Drosophila melanogaster: one gene and its partner. The protein of the gene in region 1 interacts with the protein of each later gene in a pairwise test. Each region holds a gene or a part of one and is shown in the gene's direction. Other genes may lie near its edges.

What was found. Proteins that work in one complex are often made in the same cells at the same time.
Region 2: the proteins of CCHa1-R (region 1) and Ama interact in a two-hybrid assay, tested with the Drosophila melanogaster proteins (one large-scale study listed by BioGRID).

Annotation. Positions count from the first base shown.
Region 1 is NT_033778.4:17,662,022-17,666,662, reverse strand, and holds the start of CCHa1-R (CCHamide-1 receptor), read left to right. Parts: upstream 1-1,594; 5' UTR 1,595-1,902; intron 1,903-4,641. Other genes in the region: eIF3c (eukaryotic translation initiation factor 3 subunit c), read right to left, coding at 1-441, 504-596. UniProt on the Drosophila melanogaster protein: Receptor for the neuropeptide CCHamide-1. Plays a role in the modulation of starvation-induced olfactory behavior where starved flies show increased responsiveness to food odorants, repellants and pheromones.
Region 2 is NT_033777.3:6,760,670-6,765,796, forward strand, and holds Ama (amalgam), read left to right. Parts: upstream 1-1,923; 5' UTR 1,924-2,310; coding exon 2,311-2,327; intron 2,328-2,510; exon of another isoform or gene 2,511-2,847; intron 2,848-3,163; coding exon 3,164-4,172; 3' UTR 4,173-4,592; downstream 4,593-5,127.

The DNA of each region.
Region 1 (4,641 bases):
GCCGTCGCTCTCCAGGGCAACCACCTCGTCCTCGGCCTCGCTCTCCTGGTCGGGTGCTTCACGGAAACGCGACAGATCGTCCTCGAAGTCCTTGATGTACTTGCGTACCTTCTGGCGCAAAGTGCCCAGCGACTTGGAGTTGTTCTTGGAAAGGTTTTTCCTGCCCTCGCGATCCTCCCACACCTCGTTGATGAAGTCCTCCAGCTCGGCCAGGCAGCGAATGTAAAATCGCGGCGTAATGCCGTTCTCCTCCTTTGAGATGACCGGCAGTGCCTTCTGGTAGGCGCGCGTCAGATCCTCGAAGCTGCTCAGGGTATTGGGAATATCCTTGATTTTCTTGTGGTTGCGAATGGTTTTGATGATGCTGGTGAGGTTCTCGTAACGCTTCTCCTTCGTGGAGCGGACCACGCGCTTGACCTCCTCCTCATCGTCGCTGAATTGCTGTTTTCCACGGAAAGGAATAGATTAGTAATGGATGAGTTTCACATCTGGGCGGCACTTACGAAGGCGCTGGCTTTGTTGAAGTTGGTCGCTTGGATCTCCTCCTCGCTGGACTCGGACTCCGATTCGGACCCGTTGGCAAAGAAACGCGACATCTTTGTTGACTTTCTACGCGGCCGTTTGTCTGCGCCTGGAATCACAATTTATTAGTTTCGGGCCACATAAGATTTTGCTTTGTTGAGGTTATGTTTGAGCGGCCAACATGGCGTTTTGCAAAAACGTATGCCAAATATTTCCGCATGACATTTGGTTGTTTCATTCGAAGCCCTGGCAGAAATCGGTTCACTGCCTTGCTTTTTAAGTGTTTACTACCACCTGGCGTTTGATATTTCACAATAAACTTACTATTTTACAGCAAAACTAAACGATGTCGAATGCACAAGACATCAAAAAGAGAGACTAGAGATGGGCGATGGTTGCATGTGTTTTCGTTGGCGATATATATTGCTCAAAGTCACGGGGCGGGGCGTTTGATTTATGTATTAATAATAACTGTCATGTTGAGAAATGATTACTCTCTACTAATATTCGTAAGGAGAGCGTTTTAAACATTTTTTTAAATGTAACAGAACATTTGTTTTTTTATGTGGCGGACCAACAGTTACCGAAATCTATCCCATCTCTAAGGGAGTCACTGTTTTGACTGAATGCGAGCGCGTACTCATCGATAACGAAATGCCGGCACTTCTCGAGATATATCGATATCAAGTAACCGGTTGGGCGGTACATTTAAAATAAATCCATTAAATTACATAGCAAATATATCATCAAAATGAAATAGTGGCCATTTAAGTAACTATTCAAAATAATGTTAAAAAGATAATCAGTGATCAATGCTTACATAGATGTTGCATTGGTGACCTGCAACATTTGAAGTTGCCAGCAACATGTTGCTGCGCTTGCGTGCAAAAGTGCCGGCATTTCTTAGCCAAACAGAGTGGGGTTCCCATTCTGGCGCCCCAACCAATCTCCGGATCAATTGGTCCGGCCAACATGCAGCCAGGCAGCCAAGGAAAGGCCAAAGCAAAACCAAGCCAAACGTTTTCGCGCGCGCCAACAAGTCGCATGCGTTCTCTCCTCCGCGCCGACGGACAGTTCAAGTTCAAAAACTCAATTTTTCGGATGTACTCGGCGATTTGGCAGCGTTGATGCCAATATCCGGCGATAGAGTCTCAAGTGCTTTTGCGGCCCGCTAAAAAGAATTCAATAAATTCATTCATTTGAATTCTTGTGTGTTGTGTTGTGTCTTGGCGGTGTAAACAAAATTTGGCCCAAGTGTGCGGTGTGTGCGTGGCATGTGCTCTGCCCATCCACATCCTGTTTAAGTGGCATCCTAAATGAGATGCGACGCCCGGAATCGCTTGAAAACACGAGTAACACGGAAAACACTTTAACGCAAATGTAAGCATAATAAATAATAACTGCAGATTGATGGAGATGTGTGTATCTGCGGTCTCGGAAATGGCAAATTAAAAATTGATCGGTTAATCTCGCGTAATCGCCCTTTTCCTGGCTTTTCGACAGCTGACATTCGAGAGTGCATATGGCGGCTTTATTATCCGGAGAAATTGATGAGAGCTCCATAAATTCCCTGTCCGCCTATCGACATTTGAATCCGTAAAGGGTCCGTGAAATAGTACGGGTTTCTGCTCCTTGACTCCTCCGAAACTGCAGCTGCAATCGTAAATTGTGTGTGGGTGCAAAAGCTTATATGCATTTACATACATCCAAATCGGCAAAAACGGGCCCCTTTTTCCTGGGGTTCTGTTTCTGTTTCCGTTACGCTTTTGTGCTGTTTATTTTGCTTCCGTTTTCCGTTGGATTGTTACGGCTTGTGCGGCCCCATAAATCCTATATATGGGTTGGATATTTTCAAAACCGATGCTCGAAACAGACTATAGAAATTTCCATTTAAATGCGATTTCTGCCCTTGCTCGAGCATAGATTTCCTGTTGATTGAATACAAATGTTGAGTTACGCAATTTCAATGAATAATTCCTAATAACTACTCCCACGTTCCTGCCTCCATTTTAATTTAGTTTTTATTGATAAAACCGATGCACTTCTTTTTCATTCAATTCGTCATCATCCATTACACAGAAAAAATGGCTTTATATTTAGATAAATATTTTCCTGAAATAAAGTATTTCTTATTCGATAATATTATATTTTTAATAATTTGCCTTCTCTCAATTTGAAAATATTTTAATTCCTATGGATATTTTAATATAATGGAGCATATTGTAAAATTAATGTCCGCTTACTACAAAACTCTTTTGCGAATAAATTGAATAGTTTCTTTCCATGCACTATAAATTCTGCGTGTTTTTCATTTCAATTTAGGAGGAGCAGACATAAAGGTTACAGTCGTAATCAGAATCTTGAGCTCATGTTTTATTCGGGGATTTGGACAACACCCTTTTCATGCTGCACACTGAGTTTCCACAAGACGGAAACTCCCAAGCTAATGAAAAACCAGGGAAAAAACCCCAAAACAAGCTAAAGCCATGGACAGGAGCACTTGAGAATGCACAAAAATGACTGGGTGGGAAATAAAAATGCAGGCGAAATCCCAAAGTGCATCGCTTGTGGTAGCCATTTATTTGCTTTTGGCAGCTGGATACGTTAACGTGGCTTTAAGGTGCCATTAGCATGGCCTCACGATCGTGAAAACTTGTGAGGCAAAACAAATTTGCAGCTCTTGGAAAATATAGTCTTCCTTCGCACCTAATCGCTAAAATTGTCTATATTTTGGCGTACTATATATATATATATTTAAATGGGGCGTGCTCCTGGACACGATCCGTTCATCTAGTCAGTCCATTGAGTAAGTTTGTTTACAATTAACCGACGCGACAGCATTAAACAAAAACTATGTAAACATATTCATGAAACATATGGGTGTGATCTCGAAAATGTTATTCTGTTGAATGGATTGATTTAAGGTGCCTACGAATTAAACAATATCAGCACCTTGCCAAATTTTCGTTGGCAAATCTTACAAAAACGAAACACAACGAAAAAAAAATAAATAGCGAAAAGCCGCGTAAAAGCAAATACATTTTACATTCTCGATTTATTGACTGCTTATCTGCGAAAAGTTCAATTAAAGGCCAAGTTTATACATTATTTAGCAGCGCTCAAAAAGGAAGAAATATACAAATGAACAGGCGAAATCGCTTAGATAAGGTTTCTATTCAACTCCCCAGAAGTCCGCCCTATAAACATGTTTATAGCATGATATTTATGTATTTGGGTTACCTTTTGATTTATGCTGGCAACCATTTGATATGCATCTTTCGCGTTTTGGTTCGTCGCTATTGTTCTTCCCGGAAAACCAAGAAAACCCTGAAAACCGCACCCATTTCGAATTTCCAACCATTTATAGCCCTCAAACTCTGGGGTCGTCTGGCATCTGCTAGGGCAAACTAATTTCGCCCGGCTAATACATACGAATGACAGTCGTTTAATTTCTATGAGTCATAAATTTTTATAATGCGCATACGCCATGTGTGCGCGTCACAGTCGAAACGAACTGAAAGTAAGGCGGCAAACAATTGCAACTAATTAGTTCGAAATGAAGGCGAATCCACGGGCACACGCTGTTTGTAGTTAATCAAGGGCAGAAACAGCAGCGAAAGAAACTCTCGGCGAACTTAAATTGAAATGTTAGATACATACGTACGTAGTTTTCCTCCTTTTGTTTTAGTTGGAAAAGTTCGTTCGTTTGGGCAAACACAACACGTCGTCACTTCAAGTGTCTGGATCTGAGCGGTCCAAACTGTCATTTCTGCCCGGAATCTCAATCTCAATCCTTGTTGAAGTTTTTGTTTGCATTGGGGGCGTGGCCAGAGATCAACCCAATACATAAGCCAATCACCACAAAACATCCGAGTAATGATGCGGAACTTTTCAAGTGCCTTTGTCTCTCACTTCTGGCCTTTCCTTTCCTCTCACTTTCACTTTCACTTCCACTTTCATTTTCACTTTCACTCCTGCTTTTTTTCGATGCTTTTGTCCAAAGGACACTGGACATTGACAGTCTTGTTGTCGTCCAGATTCAAATCTCTACGAAGAAAAGTTATTAGCAATGGCGAATGGCGAGGATGTCTGTGCATCTGCAAATGGCAAATGATATAA
Region 2 (5,127 bases), on another chromosome or scaffold:
CACAGACACTCCAGTCGACGGAGTCGGAGTGCAGCCAAAAGGCAAACAAAATACGTTCGCATAGGCAAAGCCCAAGGATACACACAAAGGTACAGTGGTTGCTCTGACTACAAATACAAATTAAACAGGGCCAGAGCTTTAATACCAATTCGATACCATTGCAACAACAGCATTTCAAATGCTACTTTTTTATATCAGATAAAGATAGGTAGAAAAGGCTATATTTACGTTAAAGGCAAGCTGATATTTTAGAAATTTATTCAAAAACAAAATTAATTACTTTGACACATAATATTGTATTTAGTCATCTGACTAGAAACTAGAAATCTCTGAATGTAACGAAGTTCTGTGCATTCTTACAAATATTACAAAAAGTATCTGCTAGATACCACTGTGCGGAACTGGGCCACAAATTCAGACGCAGTGTGTGACAAAGGACTTCTCCCTTCCCCGCTCGGCGACCCTGAATGCTGAATGCCCCCGTGTGTGCCGCTGCTGAAGCGAAACACCCAAAGAGTCACTGACAGAAACAGGATTCGGGTAATAAATTACAAAATTTGACATTTTCTGTTTTGGATCCGCTTGCGCCTGAATGCGAGCGGCAGCCCTCTCTGTCGCACGCCGTCTAGCCGTCTCTTTCGTTCGGTTTCGGTGTGTGTCCAGTTCGGTCGGGCCAAGTCGAGCGTTGCATGAAGCAGCCGGACCTGCCAGGACCTGGACCAGGACCTGAACCTGCATCCAAGAGGCATCGCCGCAATGGTCATAATGACGCTGCCGGGATGCAGCTGAGGACAAGGAGAGCCGTCAGTGGGCAGCGAGAAAGGGACGGAATAGAAGCGCCCTATGCGGTCCGTTGATAGTTAACTGGAAATTTATTATTTTACACAATTTACAATTATCTGATTCGAATGTGCACTCAGCGACGAGGATTCCGGCAGATGGGCAGTACGAGTGAGAGTGCGGGGGTCCAAGTTCGGACGACAGATGCAGTTGTCCTCCCATGGGAACGGCCTCATTTCAGCAGAAGTCACCGAAACGATTTAAGATGTGATTTAATTTTCCAGAAACTGTGGCCATAGTTTCGTCGCTCTTCGGGGGAATTTCTTCGCCAGACAGACAGCGTCGTCATCAATCATCTCGCAGAGTAAAGCCGGGTTAACCTCGATGGGTTTTAGGGGGAAACTTGGCCCGGGGCTGATCAGGAATCAGGCTGGAAATATGAAAATTAAATGCGTTTGGGCAGCAGAAAGTTTTCGAATGGTTCGGTGCTTATACAACAAGTGAAATTTTGCACATCAAACGGCCTTTGACCACATTTAATCCTTAAATCATCTGCCATAGGAACTAATTGATCGAGATCCAGACACATATTAAACACATCAATATATATACACAAATATAATCAATATAGACTATGTTATATTTCGACGTTTCCTATCCTCGTATGCTGTGAGTACACATATTAACCTTCAGCCGTGTAAAGAAATTTCTACGAACAGCCAAGTTAAAGGTACCCAAATTTCCCGAATACTGCTCTTTAAATATCCTTCAGAATTTCCCAGCATGGCTGAACCAGGACTCGATTCAAGTTCCACCCAATGCCTTGTACACCACCCCGTTGTTTTTGCCTTTTCGCGCATGCGCCCCTGCTCCGGCGCAAAAGAGACAGCACTAATGAGACGGCGCTGGGATCGCTGGCATTTCCAGAGCGGCTAGGATATTCCAGGGACCGCTCGTAATCGTTGCTGTTGTTGTTAGCCGCCAGCGGAAAGTAGTGCGCCATGCCATAAATCACACAAATGGGTAGAGTTCCAACTTTCCCACCCCGCCGCTGCTCCTTTTATTGTCCTTCCACGAACCCCGAAACGTTTATGGCCAAATGGCGGCACGAATTTGAATTTGAATTTCGCACGCGGTCTCTCAGTTCGCCTGCGGCCGCTTTCGCTGGCGCTTTGTTTTTGCAACTGACCGCTTATCTTGGGGCGGGGGCTGTCAAGTGGGCGGGGCAGGAGGGCCACAGGCAGAGGCATAAACAACAGCAGCGAGCAGCAAAACAAATCAATTAAAGACCAGAAGGAAAGTGCATTGATAACTGAGCCCGAAGTCAAACTCACGCACAAGTAAACAATTTAAATACGAACTAAAATGCAAACACAGATACAAAATACAGATAGAGATACTGAACAAACACAGATACAAATACTGTGAAGGCGACAATGTACATAACCGAGGGGTGATAAGATCCAAAACGTCGATGACTTCTTCATCGGCAAATACACTGAAAAAAGCTGTTACTAATTATTAAAAAATATGCAATATAATAAAAGGTAAACTATTTTTTTTACTAAATTTTAAACTATTTACTAAACACTGCCATTTAAAATCTTTTTTCACATCCTTAACTACAAAAAAATTAATTTTAAATCAAATTGATTTCGTTTACCTGGCTATTCATTAAAAAAAAAAATAAGTATTGATATATCGGAAAACTAAGTTATCTCCGTTTTTACCAGTGTATCCATTAAGAAGCAACGTTGTCTAGACACAGCCGCGGTAATCAATCATAATGGTGTCTATCTGCTTCATTCTCGCGGTGTACAAATTTCGGGACTTTCCTTGAGAAACCGAGCCATCGACGTCGGCGCGTCAGGAAGAATACAAAAATAAGAACCCGATTCTCAGAACCTCAGCAGAGATACGGATTTTTGAGCCGAGCTCGGTCGCCTCTTTCAATTCAGTCGAGTCCCGAACGCGAAGTGAAGCGCATTGAACCCACATTGAACTGAGAGATAGTCGAGGAAAAAGAGTCACAAAATCAACAGCAACATCCTGTAAATAAACAGAAATGTATGAATTATATTAAAATAAGACGATAAAGCTGAAAAGTGTGTACAAGCCTTATAAATGTTTCAAAACGAGTGTGTGTGCAGAATTCTTTCCTTCTTATTTACTTTTGAAAGATACTTTTAAAGATATACTTGTGACCTTTAAATTATTATTCTATAATTGAACCTAGTTTTAGTTTATTATATTGAATTCGAAGATGGGTTAAAAATGGCAGTTCTCCATTACATACGAAATATTTAGAATGGCTAACGCGATCAAAAGACTCAACATAAAGTGATACACTAATAAATCTCAAATCTATTTTGATTTCTTACAGACCAGACATGGCGCGTCTGCGGCTTCTAATCGGTCTTATATTCTGCCTTGCGATCAGCTTGGATTCGGTGCTTAGTGCCCCAGTGATCAGCCAGATCAGCAAGGACGTGGTGGCCAGTGTGGGCGACTCTGTGGAGTTCAACTGCACCGTGGAGGAGGTGGGACAGCTCTCGGTGAGCTGGGCCAAGCGTCCCAGCGAGTCGGACACCAACTCGGTGGTGCTCTCCATGCGGAATATCCTCAGTCTGCCCGACCAGCGGTACAACGTAACGGTCACCGAAGGACCCAAGACCGGAAGTGCCATTTACACCTTCCGCATTCAGAACATCGAAGTCAGTGACATGGGTCCGTACGAGTGTCAGGTGCTTGTTTCGGCCACGGAGAAGGTGACCAAGAAGCTGAGCCTGCAGATCAAGACCCCGCCGGTGATTGCGGAGAACACCCCCAAGAGCACCCTGGTGACAGAGGGACAGAATCTGGAGCTGACCTGCCATGCCAATGGCTTTCCCAAGCCTACGATCTCCTGGGCCCGCGAGCATAATGCAGTGATGCCTGCCGGTGGCCATTTGCTGGCCGAACCAACTCTCCGGATTCGTTCCGTGCACCGGATGGATCGCGGCGGCTACTACTGCATCGCGCAGAACGGAGAGGGCCAGCCGGACAAGAGGTTGATCCGGGTCGAAGTGGAGTTCCGTCCGCAGATTGCCGTCCAGAGGCCCAAGATCGCCCAAATGGTGTCCCATTCCGCGGAGCTGGAGTGCTCCGTGCAGGGCTACCCGGCTCCGACTGTAGTTTGGCACAAGAATGGCGTGCCCCTGCAGTCTAGCCGGCACCACGAGGTGGCCAACACCGCCTCCTCCTCGGGAACCACAACCTCTGTGCTGCGCATCGATAGCGTGGGCGAGGAGGACTTTGGGGACTACTACTGCAATGCCACCAATAAGCTGGGACACGCCGATGCGCGACTGCATCTCTTCCAGACCGTCATCCCAGTGCCCTCCTTGTCGTAATAAGCCCTCAACGTCTGATTTCCATTCCCACGCAACAAGACTGGAACCCTCACTTTCTCCTCTCGTCTCGCTTTTTCGGCAATTCGCCAGTCCGGATGCGGTCTGTGTTTATATTATTAATGATTCATTCAATTAGCTCCCATTCAGACTTCATTATTTTCGGACACACTTGAGATCGAGCCACCGCTTGTGCCTTATGAATTTTGCTCTGCATCCGTCGGCTTGTGCAAACACACATTAATATGCTTAAGTAAATAACGTTCTCTGATAAAGTTTAATCGGTCTTTTCCTATGTGGTTGGGTTGGCTTGTATACGGTGTAAGTTAAATACCATGAGAGAATAAACACCTCTTGAAGCAACGAATTAAAGGGTTTGTCATTCAATAAAACTAAGCCAGGAGACAAGGCATTGTCAAAAGTATTTCATTGTTTTATCGAGAGGGAATCTAAAAATATATGGTAAGTGCAGATATAAATGAAAAATTAATCACTTCTAAACAACACCCAATGCTCCATGGATCTTATTAATTTATAACAATAAACAATTCAAACTTTACACTTTAAAAGCCACAGTTTCGTTAGAATGATGGCTAGAACATCCAAATCTTTTAAAAATCCATTAACTTTTTTGGATGCCACTTTCCAAACCCTAAATAACAGATCTTTCAAGATCTTCTTCCTTAAAGCTGCCATCTGAGTCCGCAAGGTCCCACCTTGACACCAAAAACAGCATGTAACCTCCATTCTGAGCTGGTATTCCAACGGTTAACGCTGCCGAAGTCATTTGCCAAAAAGTTAACCGAGCCCGCTCAAAGTGCCACAGCGTTTAACTCTTCAATCATGGTTAAAAAATGGCAGTCAGTTGTTCACCTCTTGACGTAAACACTCACATGGTCAAAATGCGGAGTGGGTTGTGTGGCGAAAAGTGAACCCGAATGTAAGTTGTTCATTGTAA